Linked DNA regions of Tamandua tetradactyla. The protein of the gene in region 3 binds, or shares a complex with, the protein of the main gene of each other region. Links are inferred from orthologs where the notes say so. Each region holds a gene or a part of one and is shown on either strand. Other genes may lie near its edges. The genes, in order: DHX16, SF3B2, RBM48 and CWC15.

Evidence for each region.
Region 1: RBM48 (region 3) and DHX16 share a complex: the UniProt entries of both Homo sapiens proteins name them as parts of the minor spliceosome. The link is inferred for Tamandua tetradactyla from reciprocal best matches to the Homo sapiens genes RBM48 and DHX16.
Region 2: RBM48 (region 3) and SF3B2 share a complex: the UniProt entries of both Homo sapiens proteins name them as parts of the minor spliceosome. The link is inferred for Tamandua tetradactyla from reciprocal best matches to the Homo sapiens genes RBM48 and SF3B2.
Region 4: RBM48 (region 3) and CWC15 share a complex: the UniProt entries of both Homo sapiens proteins name them as parts of the minor spliceosome. The link is inferred for Tamandua tetradactyla from reciprocal best matches to the Homo sapiens genes RBM48 and CWC15.

The regions. Positions count from the first base shown.
Region 1 is NC_135331.1:85,562,219-85,570,174, forward strand, and holds the start of DHX16 (pre-mRNA-splicing factor ATP-dependent RNA helicase DHX16), read right to left. Parts: upstream 3,005-7,956; 5' UTR 2,659-3,004; coding exon 2,452-2,658; intron 1,253-2,451; coding exon 1,005-1,252; intron 909-1,004; coding exon 746-908; intron 448-745; coding exon 391-447; intron 1-390. Other genes in the region: PPP1R18 (phostensin), read right to left, coding at 5,600-5,619, 6,239-6,449. UniProt on the Homo sapiens protein: Required for pre-mRNA splicing as a component of the spliceosome. Contributes to pre-mRNA splicing after spliceosome formation and prior to the first transesterification reaction.
Region 2 is NC_135335.1:8,380,630-8,388,271, reverse strand, and holds the start of SF3B2 (splicing factor 3B subunit 2), read left to right. Parts: upstream 1-4,636; 5' UTR 4,637-4,678; coding exon 4,679-4,811; intron 4,812-4,984; coding exon 4,985-5,031; intron 5,032-5,333; coding exon 5,334-5,411; intron 5,412-6,174; coding exon 6,175-6,423; intron 6,424-6,641; coding exon 6,642-6,692; intron 6,693-7,642. UniProt on the Homo sapiens protein: Component of the 17S U2 SnRNP complex of the spliceosome, a large ribonucleoprotein complex that removes introns from transcribed pre-mRNAs.
Region 3 is NC_135327.1:123,744,635-123,751,861, forward strand, and holds the start of RBM48 (RNA-binding protein 48), read right to left. Parts: upstream 2,887-7,227; 5' UTR 2,515-2,886; coding exon 2,404-2,514; intron 1,282-2,403; coding exon 1,091-1,281; intron 1-1,090. Other genes in the region: peroxisomal ATPase PEX1, read left to right, coding at 2,887-3,015. UniProt on the Homo sapiens protein: As a component of the minor spliceosome, involved in the splicing of U12-type introns in pre-mRNAs.
Region 4 is NC_135334.1:47,987,268-47,994,311, reverse strand, and holds the start of CWC15 (spliceosome-associated protein CWC15 homolog), read right to left. Parts: upstream 3,016-7,044; 5' UTR 2,885-3,015; exon of another isoform or gene 2,872-2,884; intron 1,833-2,871; 5' UTR 1,825-1,832; coding exon 1,694-1,824; intron 712-1,693; coding exon 599-711; intron 35-598; coding exon 1-34. UniProt on the Homo sapiens protein: Involved in pre-mRNA splicing as component of the spliceosome. Component of the PRP19-CDC5L complex that forms an integral part of the spliceosome and is required for activating pre-mRNA splicing.

The DNA.
Region 1 (7,956 bases), on a different chromosome or scaffold from region 3:
CTCCGCCCTTTCGCCATCACTTGGCAATGTTCCTTGACAAGTCGCTTTTTGCTTACACCCCATTTAAGTCTCAGGAACAGGAAAGGCTCATCTCTTCCTCACTGATATACTAATTAACTTTGGCTCTCCATGGTTACCAGTTAGGGAAGGTTTGGGATAGCTACCACTCATAGTTTCTGCCCTTGATAACTGATGTTCACCCAATGGCCTTCTCTAAGTCCCTCCATTCTCAGCTGGCTCCTGTCAACCAACCCCCCTCCTCCAAGACCTGACCACTACATCAGCATCTCTACCACATTTCCTTTGCATCCTTTCTCTCTACCCCTAACCCCTGATCAGAAAGTCTTTCCTTTTTCATCTAATCTTGGCTTCCTGGGCCCTGGGACTCACCATGGCTTTCCGGTCTTCCTCAGCCATCTTGAGGCGCTTCTGAGCCTCTTCATAAGCCTAAGAGAAGAAACCAAGAGTGGCGGGATAGAAAGGTAAGAAGCCCCTACACCCACAGTCATTTCCCTTCTAGAATCCCAAGGATCATTCAGATGTGCCTGAGCACAAAATATCCTCTCTCAGTAAGGAATCTCAATGGGTGCAGGAACAGCAGAGTCACCACAGCCAAAGGACCCAAAGGAGTGCTTTCACAGTCCTATGTCTTCCCAGAAATCACCATCTCTAGGAATACATTCAACCTCAGATTTGACTCAGGGATTTTTGGGGGGATTCAGAGGATATGCTGGCCTCTACACACCTTCTTGTCCGACCGCTCCACGACATTGCGAGTCCGATCTCTGTCCCGTTGCCGAACTCGCTCAGCAAAGGCATCACGTTCCTCCAGGTCCTGAAGGCGCTCACGTTCAGTCCTCTCCCACTCATCCTCAGACTCTGGCTTCTTTGTCTGCTGTTTACTCCCTCTGCAACCCCACCCAGGAGATTAAATAAGGGTATCCAGAAGGCTTATCAAACTTCATCCACCTGCCCCATCCTCTCTCACCCTGCTTCTGACTTACTCTGTTTTCCTCTTTTCTTTCTCTGAGGTCTCTTCCTCCTCTTCTTCCTCCTCCTCGTGGCGCTTCTTCCTGAGATGTTTCCGTTTCTTATGCTTCTTCTGGAGGCTTCTCCCAGCCCTACCGGCAATCTCCTCACCGCTCTCCCCACTGTCTTCCAGCAACTTATAAGATCGGTTCTTCTCCAGTAGGGCTCGGGCCTCTCGCTCGGCTACTCGAGCTGGCTTTTCTACTACTGCCTTCTGTGGTACCTGTCAGTAGAGGAGAAGATAAAAAGACATGAACAATTCCTGATCTCTGCCCATCTTACTTAGCCAAGGTTCTTAATTTCATGTCCTTTTAAGGAATTACTTGATCTCAAACCAGACTTCATTCTCTCTCTCCCCACCACATTCACATTATGTCCTTTGGCCTAAGTAGGGTTCTGAGCTTCCTTACAATAAATCATTCACTTAACAAACATTTATTAATGCCTGTTATGTGCCAGGCATTAGAGATACAGGAATAAATAAAAGAAACAAATGATCCTGTCCTCAAGGAGCTTATATTCTCAACCTCAATCTTTAAATGCTCAGCCACTTTCTCCTGGCTCTGTTCTTCCCAGTGATTGAGCCTTTCCTGGACAAGGATTAACAAGCCCCAAGAATTGTTTTACAGAAAACTTCCCCATGCTGGGCACTGGATCAGACCCCAGGAATACACCAGTGAACAGACACCTGGAGTCTCAGCCCTCATGGCATTTACATTCTAACCTCATCTCTTGCCAGGCACCACATGCCACAGCTTTACCAGGCTATTCTGCCAGGTTCTGAATATATGAAACGCGTTCTTTCTTTCTACATTTACAGAGAACTGCTCTGCAAGTCAGGCACTGTTAGCAGTAGAAATACAAAGACAAGAAATACACAATCCGATCCTGCCTGAGCTCATCTTTTACACTTTGACTCCTTCCCCCGACTTTACCTGACAAGGAAGACTTGCCTTCCCTGATCCCTACCCCCATCTTCTCTGCATTCCCACAGCACTTCCCCTATATGTCTTCTACAGCCCTCCTATTCAAAGTACGGCCTGTGGACCAGCAGCATCTGCATCAACTGGGAGATTGACAAAAATGTACAAACTAAGGTCACACCACAGAACTACCGAATCGGAATCTGCATTTTAACAAGGGCCCTGGATGAATCCCAGTTCGAGAACCACTGCTCTCTACCACTTCACTCAGCCAAGTGTAACACAAGTAAGCCCTCCCCTCGATCTTCTCCACTGAGCTGGATGTCCAGCACCTGGCATAATTCCCGGGTGACAAAAGATAAGTGCTTGTGAACAAGCTTATTTAACTCTTCTATGGACATTAAGGTCAGCCTCATCTGGACAAACAAGGGAGACTTCCCGTCTCCCGCCATTCCCACGCCGGGCCCCGCCCCAGTCGCGCTCCACCCCATCCCCACACCTTGTTCCAGAGTTTCAGGGCGAAGTCCCGGGCCGGTCCGCTGAGATCCAGCGTGTCGGTATCTCGCAGGCGCTGCAAGAACTCCTCTCCTGAAGAGCAGCGCTGAGCGGTGGCGATCAGGAATTGGGCCACGTGCCGCTCGCTCATCCCCAGAACCGAGTGCAGCTCGTCCTGCACCCAACGCTCCAGCCCAGCTGGCGTCGCCATGGCGACTCACGCTCCCTGCTCCAGGTCCTGAAGCGCCAAGAGCAGCCGAGCTGGCTGTCAGTCACGTCGGAGGCCTGAAGCCCCAAGTCGGAGCTTCAGTTCCGCAAGGGAGTTCCCTTAGGACTTCATGGTTCGGTTTCCAACCTAAAGCCGTCTTCCAAGACTGCGGAGGCCGGAAGGAAACGCACTTTTCTGGCCTAAACACTACGGTGGCCGAGAGAGTTCAAGCCTCGCGGGACCGTCCTTGAACACGGGGCTAAAATGCTTCCCATACCCATTTCCGCCTCTACGCTGTCTCTCTCTCGCCCCCTGATGGTCAGTCAGTCCTTCGGCACTTCATTCATTTAGTGGACAAATACCGAGAGCTAAATGTGTGCTAGGCAGTTTTAGTCGCTCGGGATACAGCAGAGATCAAATCAGACCAAAAAAATCCCTTGCCGAATTTACATTCTAGGCGGGTGTGGGGGTGGGGGTGGGAAGAGGCGGACGAGACATATAACAAATGTGTAAAATATGTAAGTTCTATGGAACCAAAAATAAAACAAGGTAAGAGAGGAAGGATTCTGTTTCAGATCGGAAGATTAGCACAGGATGGTTCGAAGTGACCTTTGATAGGACTGATACTTGCAACAGGGGTGGATACAGGTTAGTATAAGTTAGGCCCTCCGGGCCGGAAGAAACTTGAAAAATAAAGCAAAACAAAGGTGCCCTCTTTTCTTCTTGCTTTTCAGGAAGTTGTTTAAGACAAAAAATAAAAATAAATCCCCAAGCTAAAGGAATTTTGAGAAATTCACTGGTGGATGCTCATTTAAAAGCAGAACCTGTTACTTGATGCTCTGCTGTGTGGCCTCTGACCCTGCTTCATACTTTTATGGTTAATTGGATTTATCCAATTATTTTATTTCTGTTGAGAAATGAAACATTGTTATTATTCCAATTAACAGCCACAGGTGGATTCATATTATTGACTTTTTGGATGCATTGTTTTCTGTGTCTGAAATGGACTGTGGACACCCGTGGCATCAGAGCTTCTGGGCCAGCTTTCCTGGATCACAGCTGATTTACATCTTTACCCAATTAGCTGCTGCTGTCAGCACTGCTTCCCTCCATACCACAGACTGAACTGGCTCATTCTGTTGATACCTTGCTAGTGAATTAAAGATCTTCGGCATATGCCTAAGATCAACTTTGGGTTCTAACAAAAGGGTGTCCTCTGACTAGGCTGAGAGAGGCATCTTGTATAGTGATAGAGAACTATTGGTATTTAACCACGACTAGGCTGTAGAGCTTAGAAATGACCTGATAAGTAAAATATAGCAGATGCCCCACATTTGTAGAAGATAACAGTTTCTTTGAATTGGAAAAATCCACCATCAACTATACTTAGGGAGCAAAGCTGTGAGTTCTTAATCCTTTAGGAAGATAAAAAGTTGTCTATTCATGAAAACAGTTTTTCAGGAAACTCCACTTCTGTACATACTCACTAAATTTTGCAGCCATTTCTGGGGATTTACTACCTATGATCTCACGTATTGGCACAAATTAGCCACATAGGTTGTGAGTCATACATTATCTGGCTGCTTGCATTGCAGCAGGCTTCTGAATACTGGAATCTTCAACTCAGAGTTCCTCTTCTACAGATTTCTTAGTTCCTTTCATCTATTTATTCTTCTCTTCAGTCATTCATTTTAGAAATAATTATCTTGTATCTACCAAGTGCCAAGCTTGGGAATACTGCAGTTAACCCAACTGGCATGATCTGCCCTCTTGGAACTTTCAGTCTTGTGACATCTCAACTGCCTTTCCTCATGGCTCCAGCTTGTCCTTAGCAAGCCCTATGCAGGGATCTCCCCGAGCCCTTTTTTATACATTAGTGCTACGTTCCTGGCTCATCCCCCATATCGTTCCCTCCCATAGCCATGGCACTACCTCCTCTTCATGGCCAACAGGAAGACAGAAGCCAGGAATGATGAAACCAGAGCCTTCCCTGCTCCCCCATACACTTTTTTTCTCTAAACAAGCAGCAAGGGGAGTCACAGGGAGCTCCATTTTATTACAGAAAGTTAAAAAAAAAAACAACACACAAACAACTGATAAGGAAGAAGCAATGGGGAAGAGGTGAAATGCGTCCTTATTCACCCCACCACTGTACAATTCAATTCAATATCAATTGTGAACCACTAGCAGGAACAGAATTAAATAACTATCTGGGGATTAGGAATTAAGAATCCCAGCCTTTCCTCTTGGGGAAAACTGAGGCATAGTAATACTGAGCAAAAGTGAAGGAAGCCACACCCCCTGGCCACTCCCAGTGAGGTGAATGCAGAGGGCAGAGAGGAAATTCACGTGGACTCAGCAAGTGGGCATGGCTCGTAAACCTGGGACTTTGGCAGCATGGGCTGGGGGGCTGGTGGGGCTTGTAAACCAGGCTGTGGTCAACAGAGAGACAGGAGCTGTAAACACAGGGGTGATGATCTAGGGAAGAGGTGGGAGAAGTGCCTGTAAAGGGATTAAGGGCCAGGCCTGCCAGCCAGATGAGTACTTAAATCCTGCCAGTCCCCAGGGGGGTGATAGGGAACTGAGGAAGACTGTGGGGAGTGTCCCTGCCTGTGAAATGGGGCGTGAGGAGGTGTGTTCCATCTCCACCACATCACCCCTCCCAGTGAGCTCTGTGCTCCTTCCCAACACTTAGGGTTCACTCTCAGATGACCTAGCATGCACCAGCACATTCGACCCACCCACACCAGGGACCATGGTTTAGGGGTGAAGTTGGGCAATTGGCTGTGCCCCCAGAAATAGGATGAGAGGAAAGCCAGTTAGGGGATGTTGGTTGCCCTTCCCTGCAAGGCTCATTTTCAGGATTTATCTGCTCCAGAACTTCTGGGCTCCCGGATCTTCAGTTTTGGGAAGGAGGGAGGTAGAGCCCCATGTGGGAAGATGGTCACCTCCGGCAGGACTCATCTGTGTGAGAGGGAGCAAGAAAGATGGAGAGTGAGTGAAGGCCTCTGCCCCCCTTCCCCAACCCCTCCCACTAATGAAGGGCAGTTGACACTTAGGAAGTCCTATAATGTCCTCCAGGTTTTGATGCTTGCAATCATCAGCGACTCATTTAGCTTGTATTCTGTTCCAGGCAATGTTATAATAACTCATTTAATCTCATAATAGTCCCAGGAGAGGTTAAGTAATTTGTTGTCTACCCATGGTTCTAGGTGCGTGACAACAATTACTCACACCTCTCAACAACTCCAGGAGGTAGTTATTGTTAACCCCCATTTTACAAGAGAGGCCAAGAGAGATCAATTTCCCCGAGGACATACCACAAGATAAAAGTTGAAGTTAAAACTCAGGCCTGTCTGATCCAAACCCTGTGTTTTTAAGTATACTAGAGTGTTCAGAAAGAGCCCTGGTCTTGGAAACTGGAGACCTGATGTGCACTTCCCTTCCCAGGGCCTCAGTTTCCCCGTCTGTGAAAAGAGCTTGTTGGGCGAGAGTCCTGCCAAGCCCGCGCCTTCCCTCCAGTGCAGCAGTGCCCGCTCTGAACACCAGGGGGCGCGCTCGGGCGGGCGGAACTTCTGCTCACCCACTATCAGCGCCTTGGTTCGCAGCCCGCCTTGGAGCTCCCGTTGCAGAAGCAGCAGCTCCTCTTCATCCTCCTCATCGTCCTGCTGGGCCGCTGGGGGGTTGGGGGCACTGGGAGTCTCGGGCTCCAGGCCCAACTCCTCCAGCACTGAACTCTCAGAGGGGTACTGGTACGTGGTCTCAAGGGCCGTTTCGCTGAAGGAGATCTTGAGCTGGGGGTGGAAGAGAAATGGGGGAGGTGATGAGGCCGGCCCCAGAAGCCGGCTGGGAAAGCAGGTAGAAGTTGGAGAGGCAGGGACTCGTCTCCCCTCCCCATCCACTACGGGATCTGGTTTCCCTTTGCATTCAGACTCTTCAATTCCAGATTTTCCCTCTTCAATAATATCGTTTTAAAAACATCAGACTTTGGCCTGTGCTTTGGCAGGAGCCTGGGAGGCAAAAGAAATAACAGGGCCAACGTCGCTGCTGTTTAGAGTGTGGAAGGCAGAAGTATAAAAGGAAATTAAAATACATCAAAATCAGTCTGTGATCAGAACCCAGTCCCTGGGTGCCTTTGGGGCAATCAGAAAGGCGTCCCAGAACAGGTAAGATTTGAGCTGCTCAGCAAGAAAGAGTTGGCTTGGGATTCACCCCTATGAAACTTATTCCTGCAAAGGATAGGCTAAGCATACTTAAAATTAGGCCTAAGATTTACCCCCAGAGAACCTCTTTTGTTCCGCAGATGTGGCCTCTCAGCAGGTGAACACACTCCCCCTCCCTCCTACATGGGACATGACTCCCAGGGGTGTAAATCTCCCTGGCAATGTGGGACAGAAAGCCCTGGATGAGCCGCAACCCGGCATCAAGGGATTAAGAAAGCCTTAACCAAAATGGGGAAGAAGGAAATGAGACAAAATAAAGTTTCAGTGGCTGAGAGATTACACAGAGTTGAGAGGTTATCCTGGAGGTTATTCTTATGCATTATATAGATATCCATTTTTAGTTTATGGTGTATTGGAGTGGCTGGAGGGAAGTGCCTGAAACTGTAGAGCTGTGTTCCAGTAGCCATGCTTCTTGAAGATGATTGTGCAAAGATACAACTTTTATAATGTGACTGTGTGATTGTGAAAACCTTATATCTGATGCTCCTTTTATCTATGGTATGGACAGATGAGTAAAAAAATATGGATAAAAATAAATAAATAATAGGGGGACTAAGGGGTAAAATAAATTGGGTAGATGGAAATACTAGTGGTCAATGAGAGGGAGGGGTAAGGATATGGTATGTATGTGTTTTTTCTTTTTTCTTATTTCTTTTTTTCTGGAGTGATGCAAATGTTCTAAAAAATGATCATGGTGATGAATACACAACTATGTGATGATATTGTGAGCCACTGATTATACACCATGTTTGGAATGTATGTTGTGAAGATTTGTCAATACAAATATTAAAAAAAAAAAAGAAAGAGCTGGCTGAGAAGTGAGTCCCAGACAAAAAGGACAGGCTCATTGGTTTCCATAACCTCAGCTCTTTGCTTTTCCCTGGGAAACCAAGGGCCTTTGACACCTTGTCCCTCATGCTCTCCTCTCTCATCTCTTACAACTGGAGAAGACGCAGAGCAAGGGGACCTAGTACCTAGGAGAGGTTAGGAGACCCATGGAAAGGCCCAGAGGACCAAAAGACCTTCCCGTAGCTCACGGGGAGAAAGAGGAAAGTCCACACAAACAGAGGGAGGGGAT
Region 2 (7,642 bases), on a different chromosome or scaffold from region 3:
GCTCTGCATGGACAGGACAGCCTGCAGGAAGAATCAGAGTCCTTAATTCTCCTGGGATGTACACTTTCTTCCCTTTGTCACTGTCCTGCCTACAGGACTTGGTGCCTACACTGGAGTCTCCCAAGGGGAGCAGGCCCATTCCTATCCTGGTAAACTTGTTGAAACTACCCTATTTCTCAGAGGAGTTGGAGTCAGCAAAGGGGTTCAAGCCTGGGGGGAGTGGCAGTGGGCCTTTCTCCAGAAAAAGGTGACAGGGGTTCTCAGTGCCCTCTACATCCCGTTCTTGGCCCTTTCCCAGCTCCCCTCCATGGCTCAGCCTTGTGGAGCCAGCTGGCCCCCAAGCTCTGGCCTGCTCAGGAACATAGGTGCTGGAAGTCCCTGGGCATCACCCCCAGAAGGTGGGCACCAGCTTCTGCTTGGCCACCTTCCACTGGAGGCTTATCACCTTTGGACACTGCCTGGCCCATCTCTGAGCAGCCCTGGCCAGTGAAGAGTTCTTTCTGGGACAGCCAGGATCAGCTTCCCTCCCATAGGACCCTCTGCCTCTCTCCTTCCTTCACACCTCGCCCTATATTGTTGTTAGTGCTGCCCTCCCAGGCCCTTTCCTCTGAGACAGACTTTCAGGTATTTGAAGGCAGTAACCATGTCCCCTTCAGGTGGGCCCTCGACCAGGCTGAACATTCCATGTCCCGAGAGAGGCTGCTGCCTGGACCCTGGAGGAGGTCTGCCTTCCCCAGGCAAGTTCGCTTCTTGGAGTCAGAGTGCTAGCATCCTGGGCAGGGGCCACCTGGAGCTGGCTTCCCTCTGTTATTGCCAGGCCTGTGTGGGTGGGTGGCAGTGTTGCTGGGGCAGGTTTTCATGTTAGAGAAATGCACCTGGCCCCTGCTCCTCAGTAGCTGCAGACTACACCCCTGTCTCCCCAGGAGAGAGAGAGAGAGAGAGGGCCCCCAGTTATCCGTGACAGGTTAGGATGCCCAGCCTCATCACAGTATTGGTACTAATTTTAGTAAGAACCATCCACCTCAGGTTGCTGCCTCGTTGTGCAAATTGCTCTCCTTTCTCCAGGGAACTAAGGAAGAAATGGTTCAGCCAGCCAGAGCTTTGAAATTGGCCTGGACACCTCCTGGCTCCCTGATGAGCCCCTTCTCCTCTCTCTCTTCCCACCTCCAGGGCTGGTGTGGGTGTGGGTGGGGTGGGGGAGCTGCTCTTAGAGGAGAAGGGGGCCCTGGGCTGGACCACCTGGCTGGAATGCTGCATGACCTGGGGATTCCATCCAGACTTGAGGGATGGCAGAGCCGGTGGAGTAGGGAAACTGACCCAGGGAACTAGAGAGGAAAGGGCCGAGGGATCAGGGGGATTGCAAAAGAATGGCCCCAGGAGATCAAATGTCTTTCCATCTCTCTCTCTTATATTTTTCCTTCCCCTAGGAAGGGCCAGGTCCTCTCCAGCCCCCTCTCGCTGTCATCTACCCCCATGTCATCCCTGCCTCCAAATTCCCTTCATCCTCCTCTCTCCATCATTCCCCCCCACCCCCCCACCCCCCACCATATGCATACATTCCCTCGATTTCATCCCAACCTCCCCCTGGGATCCACCACCCGCATCCGCATCCGGTCACCACAGTGAACAGGCCAGATTCGCCCTCGCACCCCGTCCTCTCTGGCTCCTCGGGGGTAAAGCGCCCCCTCCCTTGCTCTCAGGCACTAGGCCCCCGGGGCACTCTCCCTTCCACCTCTCGTTCCCCATCCTGGTCTGGCCCCCCCCGGCGCCCCCAGCCCAGGCTGGCCACTGTAATACTCACGCCGCGCTAGCTCTGCCTCCCACCCGGGTGGGGGTGGTCGCCGCTACCTCCCGCGCTTTGTCCCGAGGTCCGCGCCGGGTCCAAGGGCTCCGGGGGCCCTGCGCGCCAAGTGCGGGTCGGTCGGCTCGCCGCGTCTGGATGGGATCAGGTGGCGGCGTCCGCTCGGCTCCGCTCCTCTCCTCTCCGCTCAGCCCGCCGCCCGCCCCCCATCGCACACCGGAGGCGGGGCGGGGGCGGGGGCCGAGGCGCGCAGGGGAGGGGGAGGGGAGCGAGGAGGGGAGCGAGGAGGGAAGGGGAGGGGGCCGCCCTGGCTTGCAGGTGAGGTCGGGTGAACCTTCTGCGGGTGGCAATTTCCGATGCCGGCATCTTCACCCAGCAGGCTTGCCGGGTCTGGACTCCATGGCTAGTCCCCTTCCCTCAATTTTCAGAAGGGGAAACTGAGCCCCAGAAGGTGTTTGAATAGGCTGGCATTGCAAGGCAGTCCTGGATGCCACTAGTCATACCTGGGTGCTGAAGCCTTATTCCTGGGGAACTCAAGAGACCCAGGTATACTTACAGGAGCAACCACGTGCTCAGTCCTTCCTCCTCTTCACTTCTTTCCACCTCCAGCAGAGAAGCACAGCTCTTGCCCCTTGTTTGGCCCCATCTCCTTCACACCCCCAGATCCCTTCCCTTCTAGCTTGCCCCCTTCTCCCCCAGGGCAGCCCTCTTCTGCTTATCCATTCCTACTCCCCATCAGGACTCCACTCAGTCCTGACCAGTGCTTTAGTGGGCCTGGGACCCTTGCCCAAGCATCTTGCACCAGGAATCAGAGGATCCAAGTTCGGTGCTGGTTCTGTTATTAGGTCCTGAGTCAAGAGGCAGCTCCGAAGCCCTGTTGCTTCAGTTCTCAAATGGAAATAAGCACTCCTGCCCTGCCTCATCCAGGAGCTGTCCTAAGATCTCAGTTTGTTCAAGTGAAGGCTCTGTCTGTGTGGCCTGGGGGTGGTCCTGAATTTCCTGCTGCCTTTGTAGTTCTTAGCTTTGGATACCCCATTTAGGGCCACACAAGCAGGTATTATACGAGGGTCCTTGTTGAGAAAGAATGTGGACTCTCTAAGTAGGGGAACTACTTGTGGCCCAATTGGCCCCTTGGACATGTTGGCTTCTCTCCACCCCTCAGTATTCCCCTCTGCACAATGGGGGAGTCCTACCCTGCCTGCCTCCATGGTGAAATGAGTTCCCACTTGGCATGTCCCTTTCTGGCCCTTAGCAACATTAACTTTTCACCAGTCAACTCTAAGCTTATCTGTCTGAGACAGAGACTCCCTCCCTTCTCCCCTAGGACACACACAACAGGGGGCCTCCAGCCTCAGGTGACCTGCCAGTGACTTTGGGGTTACAGGAGGCAGAAAGGCTTTCTGGATCAGAAAGGCTTAGAGTGGGTCAGGAAGGTAGGTTCTGCCAGAGTGGACTGACAGTACTCTTGTGCCTTCTCTGCTGTCCTTTTCTGGGTTTGGCTTCCCCTCCGGAAGTTGCGGTAGGAGACTGGGGTGGTGGTGATAATGGAAGGGGGATGGGTAAAAATTTGGGCAGGAATGAAGGGAACTTCTCCATCAGGGCTAGAACATGAGCTGACCTTCCTGGTGCAGACCTTTTCTCTATCTCTACTGAACCGAACCTCCCTGGACTTGGGGTATCCAGGTCTGTTGGGGGCAGTCGGTGAAATGGCGCCAACTAGAGAGATTGGAAGGATGTGGGGTGGAGGGGGCCGATAAATGAGACAACTGAACTAGGGCTCTCTCTTTCTCACCCAACACGCGCGAGCGCGCGGACGGACACACACACACACACACACACACACACACAAACACACACACACACAAACACACACACACAGTGAGCCTGGCTGTCAGTGAGGGTGAGGAGCTAGTTTCAGCAAAGAGCCCCTGCCCATCCCTGCCTCACGGCGCAGAGGCCACTTGGGAGAGGGCTGGCGAGGCTTAAGGAAGAAAAGTCCCTGAGTTCATTTTCGAGACGAAGAATTTGCAACTCTTGACGCCAGAAAGATTGTTCCATTTAGTCTTTTTCATTTACTGAGCGCCATTTCAGTGCCAGGTACTGCGACACAGTAAATAGATCAGCTCTCTGCTCACATTCCTGGAGATGGGGTGGAGGTGAGGAGAAAGGGCAGAATACAGACTTGAGTAGTGGAGGTTTGAAAGTGCTTTGGGAGCTCCAAAGGAAAGGGAAGTGGGAGAAGACTTAGCGGAGCGGACAACATCTGAGTCGACCTGGAAGGTGGAAAGGGGGGCTGTAGTGTCGCCCTCCCCGCCCCCAGGTCGGCAGCTGGAGCTCGGCCCGGTCGGGCCTGCTCCTCTCCCGGCTCCGATCCCCTTTCAGTCCATTCATCCATGCCTGGGCCGTGGGCGGGCGGGCAGACAATCAGACCCTGTGTTATCGCAGGCATCGGCTTCCACCTCCGGCTTAGCGGCCGTAACGCGTGGCCGCATTGGTGATGAATCTCTCGGGACTGCCCGATCAAGGGAGTCGGGTCGGAAGGCTCAGCAGGGAGACGTTGAAAGCACTCCCTCGGGCCAGGAGGCGCTCCCACCGCAGCACCACCCACGCTTCGGCCCGGGTGTTTCCCAGCGGCGTCGCTGGCTCTCATATATAGTGGCTTGAGTACTACAACTCCCAGAAGGCTTCGCGACTCGCTATGTAAGGACCATTGGAGAAAGGGCGCGTCTACGGGGACGCAATTGGGGGCGGGCCTCGATCAGAAAGTACTCCCAACCGCGAGAGGACGTAGCGTATGGCGTTGCCGGAAGTTCCGGGAATTGGGCCCGGAGGCTGGCTCGAGCTTCCGGATTGGTTGCGCGCCTTCGTGCGGCTAAGATGGCGGCCGACCATCCCGAACCTCCCAAAGGGGACTTGCAGCTGCCGCCGCCGCCACCCCCAGGGCACTATGGCGCTTGGGCTGCCCAAGAGCTTCAGGCGAAGCTGGCAGAGATCGGAGCTCCGATCCAGGGTGAGGAGCGTTGGAAGCCAAAAGGGACTCGCGTGGAACTACGAGGAAGCGGAGCTTGGTTACCCGGGAGACCTGGGGACCGCGGGACAAGGCTGGTCTCTGGGCCTGGACCGGGTCAGACTGGCCTGCTCCGGCCTGACCTGCCTCACTGATCCTATAACTTTGCCCTGCAGGGAGTCGCGAGGAGCTGGTGGAGCGATTGCAGAGTTACACCCGCCAGGTAAGTGCTCGCCGCGGAATGGCAGGATAGGCCGTTTCTCGAGAAGGACTTTAAGTCCATTCATGGCTCGATTTTCGTTCTTTATGCACCTTAGGACATCGGGGGCTTGCTCTCTTTGCCTCTCTTGCCTTTTCCTGCTCTGTCTTAATCGTTTCTGTGCATGTGGGTCTTCCCCATTGCCCAGCCTGAGTTCTGGCAGACAAACACTGGATAAATAGTGTTCAGTGAATGGGACGGAACGTTTTTTACCGTAACAGTTCCTCTTGGACTCACCTACATTGACCTCCTTTTCGCTTTTGCAGACTGGCATAGTGCTGAATCGGTCGGTTCTAAGAGGGGAAGATGGGGATAAAACTGCGCCCCCTCCCATGTCAGCACAGGTGAGGAGGTTGTTTCGTGTTATAAGGTCCTTCGCAGGCTCCGCCCTCCTCTCGAATGTGGTGTACTGGGTTTGCAGCTATCAGATTGGGCAGGGAGATATTGTGAGGACATACTGGGAGCTCTTCATTTCTTTCTTGGTCCTGATATTTGCCTCCTTTCTCAATGTCAGCTCCTCCAAATTCTACCTGTAGTTCAGGACTCAGCGTAAATACCTGGAAGCCTGACATGATGCTCCCTTCCTGGAAGTAATTATCCTTTTCCATGCCCTCCAAGGGGATAATTCCCATGTCATTCAGTGAGACATTTAAAGCCAACTCTCTGAATTGATTGCATACTCCCTGCAATTATTAGGGTTTGCTGGGTGCCCTGGTACACTGTAAATTTAATTCCTTGTAACATCTATGCTCCTTCTGATTCAGGTTTTTTTCTGATTTTGCTTCTTTTTCTCTAAAGCAGTGGCTCTGACCTGGGGTCCATTGACCTCTGTGTGGCATGAGGAGTCCCTAGATAGCCTTTAGAAGTATCCCTGAATCTCCTGAAATTATGCAAGATCTGCACTCATGATCATTTTGTGGGGAGAGAGTTGATAGCTTTCTTCAGTTAATGGTCCATAGTTAATAGTCTCTTTTCTTGATATTGCTATGGTGCATTCTCTTCTTGAATGAAAGAATCCCAGTACCTGTTTCATAATACGTCCCCAAAACATATTTGCAGAATAAATAGATAAATGCTTTCTACTTTATGGTTGTATTTTCTCCACAGCTCTCTGGGATTCCCATGCCACCTCCACCCATGGGGCTTCCTCCTCTGCAGCCTCCTCCGCCACCCCCACCACCTCCACCAGGCCTTGGCCTTGGTTTTCCTATGGGAGTTGGACCCCACCCACCAAGCTTGGGGCCCCCACCTCCCCTCCGTGTGGGTGAGCCTGTGGCACTTTCAGAGGAGGAACGGCTGAAGCTGGCACAACAGCAGGCAGCGTTGCTGATGCAGCAAGAGGAGCGTGCCAAGCAGGTAGGGTAGATGGAAGCCTATGCTTAGGCCTCACCAGGCCCCTGAAGGGGGAGCAGAGCCCCAGAGAGAGCTGGATCCTGGGGCTGAAGCTTTCAGGAAGCTCTGGACCAAGGACTAGAACATAGGCCTTAGGCTGGTAGAGCACCCTAGGAAGCCGAGTTGTGGCAGACTGGCCTGCGGGGTATCGGTGCTGGTATGAGCTTGTTTTCTTTTTTAAGCAGGGAGATCATTCACTGAAGGAACATGAGCTCTTGGAGCAGCAGAAGCGGGTAATGCCCCTCCCCCTAACCTCTGACCTCATGGTCCAGTCAGTTGACTGTTATTTTCTGCTTACTGCCCAAAATGAGATGCCCCATTCAAGTTTTCTTTGGAAGCTCCCTCATCCCCAACTATGTTCCATTATTTCCTTAGTAATTCCAGTCATTCTGTAGTCCAGGGGTTGTCAAATTATGGCCTGTGCCTATTTTTGTACAGCCTGTAAATTGAGAATTTTTAAAATATATTTCAAGGGCTGTAAAAACAAACATGCAAAAAGGAAAACCAAGAACATGCAACAGAATCCGTTTGTGGCCTATAAAAGCCACAGTCCAGCTCTTTACAGAAAAAGTTTGCTAGCCCCTGCGAGGTCTTAAATGATGTCACTTTAGGTTCCTTGGAGAGAAATTTTGGCTCATTTATCCGTTTTTATAGGTGTTAGACTGTCTAATATGAGGAATATAAGTTTGGGGATGATGAGTCAGATGTTATCCCTAGAGGTGCATTGTTTTAATTATCTAATGGGTTACCTGGGAGTATTTAAAAAACAGCATTAAGAGTAACAGATGAGAAAATACTTATGAAGTACTATCTTTGTACCCAGATTGTGCTTGCTCCTGGGGAGTAGATACAAGAAAATAACTCATAGTTCCTTCTAATTAACTTAATCTTTTGAGGAAGAAAATCCTCAATCAAAAAATAGAAGCAGTATTTAGCTAAATATTAATATCTGTGCTAGAAACTAGAAGCTTCCCAGGGTTTTCCTTGGAGTTCTTTCCAAGGATTTTCCTTGGTGATGAGAGGGCTACTCCATTTGGATCCATGACCTGGAAGCTGGAAAAGTGGAGGTGGGGGGAGCTCCGAGAGCCTGAGTGATTCCTGACTGTTCTCCTGGGGCCTCTTACCAGCCTGAAAGAATGCAGTTGCTAGGGGCCACCCATTGAATGGAGTTACAAGTTCTGTC
Region 3 (7,227 bases):
AATAATTAAAATATTATCATTGTAAAACTTGCAATAATTTAAGAAATACTGAATATAAAGCAACCAATCAATGAGAAAACAAGGAGGATGGTATTCATTCAAGAAATATTTATTGAACATCTATATCTGACCAGGCTCTACTACAATAAATAAATACTTCTTCTGTGCCTATGTATAATAAGAAATATTATATTTATCATATGCCATGTCCTAATTGCTTTACATGAATTAACACTTCACACGACCTCATAATGAAACTGAGGCACAGGGAGATTATATAACTTGGCCAAGGTCACACAACTAGTTTTGGTGGAGCTAGAATTCAAATGCAAAAGCTTTAGAAAATATGTTTCCATAACCACTGGGAACTGGAAAGCTGACTGGGGAAGTGAGATTACATATAAGAGCAACACATGACTCCATAAAATCACATGCTTTTGTGCAGACAATGAGTGCTACTGGTAACACAGACAAGAAAATATGAATTGTAATAACCAGACAAAGATGGCTTTTGGAGCAGATTAGTGGCAAAATTAGGAATTAACAAAAAATGGATGAGGCATTTTATACTTTAATCTTATTGAAATGAGGGTTTATATAATATGGCAGGCTGCATAAATGGTGAAAATTCATTTAGGACTATAAAAATAAGAACCTCAAGAGCTAATGTTTATTGCATTCTGAATGGAAAATACTATGTGAAACCCTTACATGGACTACCTCATTTCAATCCTCATACAACCTCAAAAGGAGGTCCTTTTACCAGATGGGTCTTACAGAAGGAGAAAAAAACAACTTTTAAAAGGTTAAATAATTTGCCCAAGGTTATGAAGCTAGAAAGCAGTGGAAATGGAAAACTTACCCCAAACCCAATTTTTCATCTACTACACCTAACAGATAGTTGTTAATTTAAGCATAGGAGTGACATGATGGGAACAGTGTTTTGGTAAGGCTCATCTTTAAAAATGCTGGAGGAAAATAAGAGCCATACAGGGCTATGTTAGATTACTGGGTAATTCAGGAATGCCTGGGACCAGTTTGATAGCAATGGGGATGGAGGAAATGAAACACTATTTAACTTGCATATTACCTTGCACTTTGTAAATTCAGATATTTAATAAGATAAACTTCTGTAAATTCTTCTGCTGGGTATTCATCTAGAGCATTATATTGCTCAATCGCACCATATAAAGCAAATCGTTCAACTAATTCATTCATTGCTCCCACTGCAGGAACTCCTTGTATTATTAAGTACCGAGATTCCAAGTTGATTGTATATACCTAAAAGAAATGCAGTCATTAAATGAATTTCACAAATAAGCCTAGGGTAAATTTACCCTTATTTGTAAGAATAGGCTTTGAAAATAAAACTGTTCAACCCAATTTGCAGACAATACACAAAATTTTAAAAGTTGCCACTCTTTCTGCATAAAGAATAACTAGTTCCACATGGGAAGGCCTCTAATTAAAATATATACCAGACCACCTTCAGTAGACTTTTTCCAGACACTGAATCGTTAAAACGGATCATGTTATTGGGAACATTCACTCAACAAATATTTACTGAGTACTTACTTACCTTGTGCAAAGCAGTTATAAGAATGTAAAATACAAAGAATAAAGCAAAGCCCTTGTGCCAATTTGAAAATATTATGTACCCCAGAAAAGCCATCTTTTAATCCTGATCTAATTTTGTGGGAGCAGGTGTTTCTTTTCATCCCTATTCAGCACTGTAGGTTAGAAACATGATGAGATTATTTCCACGGGGATGTGACACGCCGGATTGTGGGCGTGACCTTTGCGTACATGGAGATGTGACTCCACCCATTCCAGGAGGGTCCTGATAAGATTACTAGAGTTTTTAAAAGGGGGAAACACTTCGGTGAAACGACAGGGCCAACAAAACTTCAGAGTAGAGCTGGCACAGAAACCAAAGTTTGGAAAACAGAGACTCGGATGTCTGGAGAAGCATGGGGCACAGCAGATATGGCCATGAGAGTCAAGCAAAACAGAACCTGGTGAGACTCAAGAGAAGCCAAGAGATGAAAGTCAGCCCTGGAAAAGCAAAGTGAGCAATCCGGATAGGAACAGAGAATAAAAGCAACCGGGCCCAGGAGCTAGGGACCAGCAAATGCCAGCTACGTGACTTCTCAGCCGACAAAGGCGTTCCTGTGAGCCGTGCCATTTCTGGTATATCACTTCCCGCAGCTTGCAAACTAACACAGCCCTGCTCTCACAGACCTGATGCTCGGGAAAATCTGTGGGGCCTGCCTGCCCCTCGGTTCTAACGCCCATATCCTATGAGAGATGAATATGACAATAGCCTTGTCCTTACTTAAAAATCTGGAGTGAATGCTCACTTAAAGCTACCGAGTTTGGCTAATGGAACCCATATCACTTTACCTTGACAGCGCGAGGCCGTCTACCGTCCCGATACTTTGCCCGCGAGTCGCACACCGCTCTCTGCACGTGGTGGTCGAACGAGCCCCCTAGTTCCCCACTACTCAACGCCATCTTGACAGCTTTGGCCCTGGGAGAGAGGACAACATCCGCTTTGCTGCGCTACTGTTTATCCAATGAGAGAGCAGAGGGCTCACGGCGCGCAGAGATTGGCTGGAGAATCGACAGCGTCGGCCATCGTTTCCTGTGAGCTGTGGTTCTGTGAACGAGGTACCGCCCCCAGCGGCGCGGAGGAGAGGCCGGGAAAGTGAGTGAAGGCTTTCTTGCCTCCCCTAAAGGACTCCGGGTCAGACTCGCCGGGAGAAAGGGGGCGGGGCCGCGGGGGCGGGCCGATCGATCTTCTCTGGGTCCGACGCCCTCAGCCTGCCCTGGTCCCAGTCGGCCGCGGCGCAAGGGTGGGTTACTCGGCTTCTGCGCTAGCTCGCGATGTGGGGCAGCTATCGCTTGGCAGGCGCTGGTGGAGGCGGAGCGGCCGTGAAGGTGATCTTCACCAACGCCCGCGACTGTTTCCTCCACCTGCCTCGGTGCCTCGTGGCTCAACTGCACCTCCTGCAGGTAACGCGCCGACCCGGGCAGGAACTTCCTGCCCGGATGCCGGACGGCCGCCTGAGGCCGGACGTGGCCGAGATGTTAGGGATGCGGCGGCAGCTCAGGCCTCTCTCCCCGCGGCTGGTCACTAGCTTACTTCCCGGCGCCGCCGGACCGTACGGAGGCCAAACTGGGGGCCCCTTTAGGGCAGGCCGGCCTGAACAGTCCTTGCATCCCATATCACGTCTAGAGCAGCCCGGGCCGTTAAATTTACGTACCTTATTCCAGGACTTCTCACTTTGGTGAAACTAGGCTTTTAAAAATGCCAAAATTCTACTTTTGCATTCAGAAATAGCCCTCACTTACAGTTTGGACAATCTCCTGAGAAGTCGCTTATTATTTTTAGATGTGTTTTTCCTGTAACCTATTTCCAGGTGCCTGCACCGTTGCCGTCCGGGCCTCAAGAGCAAAGGGCAGACTTGGATGTTAACAGGGACTGAACAGCGCCCACGAGCGGGAGAGGTTAATAAAATGATAGCTCTCTCGGCGCCGCTGGCCTACAGAGCACATATAAGGTGTGCCAGCAACCTACAGTGAATTATGCATATTTCGAAATACATACTTAATACCTTTGCTGTCGGTCGCTTCTTTGGCCTTTGTGCCAGTTGTGTTTCACAGCTTTAAGCACAGGCAGATATACAGCATCCCTATTTTCATAATAAAAATAAAGGCACACGATCTCACAAACATGAGTATACTTACGGGGACAAAAAAATAGAACATTTAAAATCCTCAAACCCAGCTGGATGGATGGTTTCCACAGTGGCTAAGCCATGCAAGAAGTTTTGAAGATTTTGCGGTAATTTCCACTATGTTTTCCAGTTTAGTTCTCTGTAACTGTTCTCCTAGATTGCTTTTTTCCACCTTTCAAAACATATTAAATTCAGAAGAATCCTTCTATTAGTTCTTTTACCATAAAGTAGATAGTCTTTTGGCTCTGATAGGCTTCCTTCAGGGCTGAAGTCATCCTGCCCCAGATAGACCTGTCCAGTACACTTCGTTTAGCTTTGATGAAGAATCTCAGGAAGGCCTGTACAATACTCTCAGCTCTGATGAAGATTTTCAACTGACTTTCAAATCCCTACCTAATGAATTTATAAGAATGCTTCTTTACAGTAATTCTATTAAATTGATCCTAAGATGTGGGTGATACCTTAATCACTATTTAAGAATGTAATAGTCTTGATCTTTGTTTTAAATTGTAAGTCTTCAGAACAGTAAATATCAAGTAAGTAGTCAAAAATTATTTCATGGGTATCTTTTTTTAACATTTTTTATTGTGAAATATAACAAATAGACAAAAAAGCAATAGATGTCAAAGTATAGTTTAACAAACAGTTGTAGAACGAATTTCATAGTATGGTATGGGTTACAGTTCCACAATCTCAGGTATTTCCTTCTAGCTGCTTTAGGACAATGGAGATTAAAAAAGATATAACAATATAATGATTCAGTAGTCATATTCATTTGTTAAATCCTGTCTTCTCTGTTACAACTTCTTTGATCTTTCTCCCAGTCTTTAGGGATATTTGGACAAGGACCGTTTTAACTTCTTCATCTTGAAAAGAGGTGTGTCAGCATTATGGGGCAGGGGGATACAACTGGTTTCTGCTCTTAGACTAGTAACTCTGGGCTTCTGTGCTTATCTGGCCTAGTAATCATCTGGAGGTTTTAGGTTTCTGAAAAACAAACTTAGTGAGGGAAATTTTTATTGCGTCTCAAAGCTAGAGGTACTCTTTGGGGTTTACAGGAATGCTGTTGCTTGGGGTTTAGTACAGTATAGCAATTAGCAGTCTCTCTCTGAAGCTTGCAAAACAGTAACCTTCAGAATAGCCTCTCAACTCTATTTGAAATCTCTTAGCCACTGATACCTTATTTTGTTATATTTCTTTCCTCCCTCTTTGGTCAGGTAGGCACTGTTGATCCCACGGTGCCAGGACCAGGCTCATCCTTGGAGTCATATCCCACATTACCAGCGAGACTCACACCACTGGATGTCATGTCCCACAAAGAAGGGAGGGTAATGATTTTCCTTGCAGAGTTAGGCTTACGGAGAGAGGCCATATCTGAGCAACAAAAGAGGTTCTCTGGAAGCAACCCTTAGGCATAATTATAGGTAGACATAGCTTCTCCGCTACAGACATAAGCTTCACAAGAGCAAGCCTCAAGATCGAGGACTTGGTCTATTGATTTGGGTGTCCCTAATGTTTGACACAGTATCTGGGGTTTACTTGGTGGTAAAGTTTAGTAGTTCTGTATTTTTTCTCCCATCCCTCAAGGAACTTTGCCAATACTTTTAAATTTGTTTTGAAATCTCTCAGCCACTGAACTTTATTTTGTCTCATTTCTCTCTTCCCCCTTCTGTTCAAGAATTGCCAATATGTTTTTGTTTTTTTTTAAACTTTTTTATAGTATAATACAACATATATACAAAGCAAAGAAAGAAAAACCCAATAATTTTCAAAGCACTTTTCAATAAGTAGTTACAGGACAGATCCTGGAGTTTGGCATGGGCTGCTATATCATCGTCTCAGGTTTTTCCTTCTAGCTTCTCCAGGACATTGGAGACTAGAAGGAAATAATTTTTATCACAATCAACTTTTTTGTGTGTGTGAAAAATAACATATATACAAAAAAGCAATAAATTTCAAAGCATAGCGCCACAATTAGTTGTAGAACAGATTTTAGAGTTTGGTATGGGTTACAATTCCACAATTTTAGGTTTTTACTTCTAGCTTCTCTAAAATATTAATATAATGATTCACCAGTCATACTTGTTTGTTAAACCCTTCCTTCTCTGTGTAACTCTACCATCACCTTTGATCTTTCTATCCCTTTCTTTAGGGGTATTTGGGCTATGGCCATTCTAACTTTTTCATTTTGGAAGGGGCTATCAATAATACACAATAGGGAGATGGAACTAGCTGATGTTTTGAAGTCCCTCTAGGTTTCAGGACTTATCTGGTCCAGGTACCCATCTGGAGATTGTAGGTTTCTAGAAAGTTACCCTAGTGCTTGGAATCTTTATAGACTCATATATTGCCCTAAGTATTCTTTAGGATTGACTAGAATGGTTTTGGTTGGGGTTTGGCAAGTTATGAGAGGTAGCAATGTCTAACTGAAGCTTCTGAAGAGTGACCTCCTGAGTAGCATCTCAACTCTATTTGAACTTCAGCCACTGATTCCTTATTTGTTATACTTCTTTTCCCCCTTCTGGTCAGGATGGCATTGTTGATCCCACAGTGCCAGAGCTGGACTCATCCCTGGGAATCATCTCCCCATGTCACCAGGGAGCCTTTCACCCCTGGATGTCATGTCCCACGTGGTGGGGGGGGGGCAATGATTTCGCTTGCAGAGTTGGGCTTAGAGAGAGTGAGGCCATCTCTGAGCAACAAAAGAGGTCCTCCAGAAGCAACTCTTAAGCATACTTGTAGGTAGGCTAAGTTTCTCCACTACATACATAAGCTTCAGAAGAGTAAACCTCAAGATCAAGGGTTTGGTGTATTGATTTGGGTGTCCCTAAAGTTTCACACTGTGTCAGGGATTTCCCTGGTGGCAAAGTTTAATAGTTCCATATTTTTCTCTGGTCCCTTAAGGGACTTTGCCAATACTTTTTGATTATCTGCTTAGTATATTCTAGGATGTATCCAGGCATTACATTAAGCTATACAGGATTAAAGGCCCTCATTCTTATTCTGGGCTCCCTGTGTTTGTTTCAGTTGTTTAAATGAGGTATTCAGACAGAGTGAGTTAGATTATGTGCTACAGAAAATTTAGATTCTGGACAAAATAAGCCTTTCTTCCTTTGGTCTCAAAGAGGTGAGGTTCTAAAATATAGACAATGTCTTCCTTACCCCTGTGTTCTGAGTTACCTTAATCCTGACCTGATCAGCTTCATTCTTTTTTTTTAATTTGTAATGGTGGTTTATTTGCCAGAATTTACATTGTCTATACAATTATGAAGAAGTTTTCTGCATTTGGATAAATGAGTCCCACAGATGAAATCACTGTAGGCAGCCTTGTCATATCTATAGTACTTAATCCAAGATCTCTTGGGAATGTTGAAATAGCAAAATACTTCCACATTGGCTTAGAAAGTGCTTAGTGCTTTCTCAAATGTGGCTGATAACTCAGAAGAATCGAGATTACTGTATCAACTGAAAGATAAGCTGTGGTGAG
Region 4 (7,044 bases), on a different chromosome or scaffold from region 3:
GGCTTCTTTGACACTGAGGAGGAGGTTGTATGTTCTGCGGAAAAACAATCATCATTGAGCTTACTGAAACAAAGACTATACTTCCTATAACATTTTAGAGAATTGTGGGCACATACAACTTAGATTTTAATCATCATGACAACTGGGATCTTACTGATTACGCAGCAGTAACTGGTGGTCCCTCTCAGGAAATTTAGGAACAGTCTACATACACTGGAAAAGATATTATATCTGATGCCTCTAGAGGACCGCCAATTGTCAGTGACAAATGGGAAAGCCTTAGTCAGAACCAACGGAACCTCACAACACACGGCTGGTGTAAACAGTCTTACACCCCTTGATCTGAACAGACATGATGATTACTGAGTATCTCTGGATCAATCATGTTCATTCTCATACAGAAGCATAAAAAGATGGAATTGGAATGACTCTCAGATATCATGTCTAATCATTTAAAAAAGTGTTACAGCTTACACCAATATATATCTAATATATATATATATATATATATGTATGTACCTTCCAGTTATCTGATGAAAGGAAAAACTATCTCTAACATATAATTTTATGAGACAAACATCTGGGATAGTGCTGGTACCTCGGGTTGGGCGATCCCTATTTTTCTCTCTTGCAGCAGCTCTCTCTCTCTCTTCCAACTCTCTCCTGAAGTCACGGTTACGAACCTCTTCAGGGGCATCCTGTGTAGTTTGTCTAAAGTAGAAACAAAGCAGGGCAAAAATATTTGTAAACAAACATATGGCTGTAGCAAATGGAAACAATTCACAAAAAAACCCATTTGTCTCCAGTCTCTCAAGAATAAGAGGGAACTAGAAAAGATCATTAACCTAACGGAAGTTTACTAACAGGCACTCGTGTGATGGTTATATTTCAAGAAGCCCAAACTAAATCACATACTTTCCCATAATAAGGCTGCAATTTTTTTTTTTAATAGGGGCATCACTCTGGACAAACCTACAAAATCTCATGTCCTACTCAAGGCTCCATGTACTTACAGCGTTCAATTAAACTGTCTACATAAATTATATTAGGAAATGCACAAGTCAAAATATAAATTTTGTGCCAATTAAACATTTTTTTGCTTTAGTTTCACACAGAAGTTGAAGTTTTAAAATATGAATTGCCGTCTATTTTCAACACCCTGCAGTATTGACTCGTTTTATCTCATGCAAAAACATTTTAAAATTTCTACATTTAGTCACTATCATTATACACTCTAGGCATTCCTAGGTTATACCATCTTTATCGTCTATCTTTCCTTTTGATTTCATTTGTGTAAGGCTGCATTGTGATGAATTTTTTTCTTAGTATTAGATCAATTCAGAGTTATTTATAGTAACACTTTAAATCTCATATTGATCAGCATTGATGATGTATGGTCTCTCTGAGGTAATCATGATGATGCATGGTCTCTTTGAGGTAATCAGGTATCAGTTTTTGTTTCACTTACATATGGAAATTCCCAGTTAATAGGAATTTCTGTTTAATGGAAAGTTTGTGAAAGTTTGCAATCAGAAAGTATAATTTCAGTGTTAAACATACTCTATTATATTCTATTTCTATGAAAGTAGACAATTCAAATGACACAACCCAAACATGCTACTGTCTCAGGACCATGCAATTAAATGCACTTGGTCTTATTCTGTAAACAAGAAAAAATGAGTATCTTTATTACCTGTATTTTATCTTTGTATGAGAGGGTAAATCTCTGCTGGAATACTGCTTTGAGAGCTGACTCAAATCACCTTCTCCTTTTCCTCTTCCACCTCTTGCAGGTTCAAAAGTTGGCCTGGCTGCTGTTGTCATCTTTTATGCTTTGAAGAAAAATAGTATCAAAGTTATTTCCAATATGATAAACTGATTTAATAAAGTTTTAATCAATAGTCAACCTTGTGAAATAATTTTCAAAACATAGTTTTCTCAAAGTTCTCAGGATAACAAATTATGACGTTAAAGGTATACAAGGAATGCAGCTTCTTAGGAAGCTGTTACTAAACACAAAATTTTGTAGTGAAGACCTGTGTTTATATTCCAGTTCTTCCCCCTGTGTGGCCTGGGCCAAGTCACCTAGTTTGTTTCTGCCATCTGTAGAGTTATTGCAATTATGAGATTCACCATGTCAAAACTCTTGCAAATTACAGTACTGCCATGAATGACTTAAAAAACCTCAACTCAACTAGACTCCCTAAGGTTTCCATTTTATCTAAAACTTGCACAACAGCAAATAGGCTAGTAGCCACAGAAACAAAATGATACTTTAAAATATCACTGACAAAGTCATTAAGTATCCTAGAGAAAAGTTAAGCTGGAGAAAAGCTCGTTAAACTTCAAATGACAGGTACATAGGAAAAATTCTCCAGCAATCTTATTGATTCAGTTATTCTATTACAACAGCCATCACCCTATAAATCAGATTTTTTTGTAGGTTAGAATTAAACAAATTCTCAAACACAAGAGCCTCACCTCACAGGATTCCGATAACCAAAAATCGGAGGCCTGTTCCTTATGTTACTCTCAGCTTTAAGTAGTTGGTTAAAATATTGCCTAGCAGACGTGACACTAAACGCCCTTAGCCCTCGGAAAAGCCACAATGTGGAAGGATGGGAGAACTGGACGGATCTTTTATTTCTGGTATACTTCTCTATATTTTTCCAAAGGGAAAGGCGTGTCTCCAGAGGGAAAAACAGGGTTTTCTGCCGCCGGGGGCGCCGCTGCCTCCCACAACTCCCCCGGATTCTTTATCACTCCGTCCCCCCGGGAGCCCGCTCTCGGCTATTTCCAGGAACTCGCTGACGCTTCTCCAGCGCCCGACTAACCTTCTTTTCTCGCCCCACCTCCCAGATGAGAAAGAGAATCTGCTACCCACCTGCCGCTCACTTTGGCGGAGATCTGAAGCAGGAACACCCGGAGCTCACTCAGACACCATCACGACTCCTAGTTCCCAAAAACCTCTGCGCCCAAGGCCGAAGCCCAAGACCCGGAAGCAAAACCCAAGCGCTTTAGCCGCCCCTTGGAGGCTGAGACAAAGACCAATCCGCAGAGGCCAAGGTGGAAGTCGGAGTGACGACAGCAAGGGGCGGGGCCGAAACGGCTCAGGGGGCGGGCGTTTGAAATCAGAGCTTTAGAGTAGACCCTAAATATCATTTTATACCTTCAAGAACCAATTACTTAATGTCTCTTCCGTCTTTTCCTTCCCCGACCCCCTCCCAGACTCCTTCATTCCGGTACTGCGTGGACGGAAAGCCCCGGGTAGCCGACACCACGTCCCCGACTAGCGGGAGAGAGCGTGGAAAAGGATTACACCAAATTGTTTAAATCCACCGGCTCCTGCTTCCTTTCTCCTGAACTAGACCCAACAAGCCTAGAGAGTTGGGCTACGGAAAAGCTAGTGTTTTCATTTAATTGGATATGAAGAAAGAACAAATATGTACGGGGGCAACCACGATCTTTATAAAGGTACCATTCCTGCAAAAATATTAGACTTCAAAGCAAAGGTTGTATTAGTATTGTTTGTTAAAATTATTATTTTTAAGTGTGAGTTCTAGTGGGAGGGAAGATGTCAGTATTAACGATTCATTCGTTTATTCACCGGACATTGAGCGTTTAGAACGGTGGGCCCAACTGCCAGAGCACAAGATGCAATTATAAATAAGATGGCTACTCAAGCGTTAGATGAAGTTTTAATAAGACAATCAACAGGAAAAAAAATCAGATATCTCCCCTCTCCCGTCGCAAAAAAAAAAAAAAAGCACTCAGTAGAGATCTTGTTTGCTGAGTTCATCTTGATAGGTCATCACATAGTCCTTGCACATAGTAGGCACTCAATAAATATTTGTTGAGTAAGTGAAACTAATCTCCCCAACTCATTTTCAGATGTAAAAAATTTCACAAAACTAAACATTTAAAAGCGGTTTCCCTAAACTCTTTCTTTGTAACTTTGAAACGGGAAAACAACAGTGGAAAAGTCCCTTCCGCTTAAGTCCAAGATGAAAATCTTGATTTTCTTTATAGAAAGTTTTCCTCCTCCACTCTTAAACATTTCATTAAATGACACTACCATCAAACCAAAATGCCAGGGCTCATTCTTGAGTTCCCTTTTCTTCATCCTTCACATCCAGTTCATCTGTAAATCGTGCTAATTCTTTCAAAATATGCCCTAAATTTGGCCATCACTTTTCAATCCATGGCCACCGCCCTAGTCCAAGCCACCATGATTTTACACTGAACTAACAATGAATTTTCACTTCACAGCATCAGTTTGGCAACAGTTAAAAAAAAATAAGTTAATACATCTGGATGGGATGAGAATAAAAAGGCATCCAGTCAGACAGGTGGGATTCATTGACTCCCGGTTTCCCACACAACATAGCCGAAGTCCACCTGATGGCCTACAAAGCTCTCCTGTTCCAGTCCCTTCCCTCCTTTTTTTTTTTTTAAACCTCATCTCTTGCACATGCCCCTCTTGGCTACATCGCTACCTGGTATTGCTTGAGCACACCCAGCACTCCTGCCTTAGGACCCCTGCACTATCTGTTTCTTCCACCCAGAACAGACAATCTTGCCCTCCTTATTTAAGTCTTTGCTCAGATGAGGACTACTTGACAGCCCTATTTAAAACTGCAACTTTCCTCCCCCTTTCTTTCTTAATACCCTACACTCCATATCTCCCTTAACCTCTTTTGCTCTACTTTTTTCTTTTTACATAACATGTATCATCTTCCATTATCCTGTATAGGCTAATTATATGTTACCTTTACTATCCTTCATCTATGTTTTCCATGCAGAATATAGATTCTACAAGCGCAAGGATCTTTGTTTTGTTCAGTGATGTGAGCCAAGCACCAAAAACAACACCTGGCACCAACAGGCAAAAAACACAACGAAATAAACATCTTCCAAATGAATGAATGAATGAAAAAATGAGTTTTAACAAGAAAAAAACACACTCTAATGTAAAAAGCTATTGCTTTTGTCTGTTTTATATTTTGAAGGGGGAGAAAAGTAACTTACTTTCTGCTAGTCTGAAATCCTGATTTTGAATGAAGATACACCGAGACTCAGAAAGATGATTTGCTTTTAGGAGAGGCTGTTTATATATAAAAAAAATCTGTGGTTATGATCAGGCTTTATATATACTATCAGAATTCTAATTGAATTAATCCCCTGATCTAATCACAGACTCAATGCACCATCTCTCCATCTCTTCCAATCGAATCATCTTTCCCAATTCTAGTAACCCCCCTCATTTACAAAGCTACCAGCCCATAAAGTGTGTTTTTACTTGAAAAATGTTTCTTTGAGCCTTTTAATAGGAAAATGAACAGAAAAAACCAACAGCCACAAGCATTTAATTTTTTCGAAAGCCTTAAAAAAAAGTTCTTTAACTTTGAGAGATGTTTATTTCATAATGCCTGTTTCCAAATGATATAAATAATGGCAGTGACTTTAAATTTTTAACCCCCAAAATACCTGTTTTCCCATTTGTAAAGTTAATCTTTTAATCCATTTTAACAAGTGAGAGTAGAAAAAATAAAGCCTCTACCAACCAAATCCTGATTTTACATGAGACCCTCGAGAGCTCAGAAAAATGATTTCCTGGAAATAGCCTCCAAATTAAATGCAACAACAAGAAAACAAAAACAAAGAAAAAATTAAATGCCACTTGTTGATGGTCCAGGCTAGGTTACTAGATACCTAATCTAATCGCATGGCTACCTGCCTAGCTGTCCAGTTTATTATTACTAAGGCAATTTAAAAGCAAAACACTAAAAATACACAAAACTAAACAAGTAGTGCATAGAAAATAAAGGGATAAAAAAGACACATCAGGCAAATTCTAACAAAATATTTTATAGCCATATTCTTCAAAGTATTAAAATTAAGTAGCATTAATATGGGCAAAGAGGGACATAAATTGCATTACAAAGAAAAATCCACTAGGAAAATATGATAATCATGTGCATTTGTACAACTAACCATATATAGCCTGGAAAAGCATGAAGTAAAAATAAAGAATTAAAAGGAAAGATGGATAAATCCGCAGTCATGATAGGAATTTTTAAAACTTAAATTTCTCATATCGATAGATCAAGCAGACAAATTAACACTGATCTATGTATGCATATTATATTTATATAATGAATGCACATAAATCCTGTAGCAAATAGAAGAATACATATGCTTTTCAGTAAACATTGAACCTTTACAAAAAGTGATTAAATATTAAGCCCCAAAATAAATTTTGATAAATACTATATGTATATTTCTAAACAATATTGTTTAGTCTCACCAATATTACATATGTATTATTTCATTTTGCATTTTCCTTCCACTTAATGTGTATTATGTATAATTTTAGTATACGATATAGAATTTTATTGTGTAAAAATACACCCTATAATTTAATCATTCTGAGAATTATGTTTGCTGTATGAGACTTACAAATAATGCTGCTATGAACATTCTTATAAATGTGCTGAGGTGCAAGTGTGTGCTTTTCTCTAAGATTTATATATCCTAACATTCCTATCAGCAGGATAAGAGTTCTTGTTCCACAATCTCAACACACTTGGTGTTGTCCAATTTTAAATTTTAGCTCATCTGGTAGGTATATAGTGATATATCACTAAGGTCTTACTTTGTATTTCCTTCATTATTAATAACTGTTTCATAGGTTTGTTGACCATTTGGATTTCATCTTTTGTTATCTGTTCAAGTATTTTTTGTTGGATTGGCTATCTTTTTCTTATCAACTTCTGCACGTTCTTAATACTCTGGATACCAGTTCTCTATCAGATATTTGTACTGCATATATATTCTCCAGCTTCCTGGTCTCTTTTTAGTATATTTTGATATACAAAAATCTTTTCTTTTAAGATAGTTCAGTTTAGCCAGTCATTTCCTTTTTGCTTAGTGTATGGCATTTCTTGATTAAGAAATTCTTTCCTACTTAGAGATAATAATGATCTTTTCAGATATCATCTTCTAAAGCTTTTATGGTTATGTATTTCACAATTCCACCAGGAA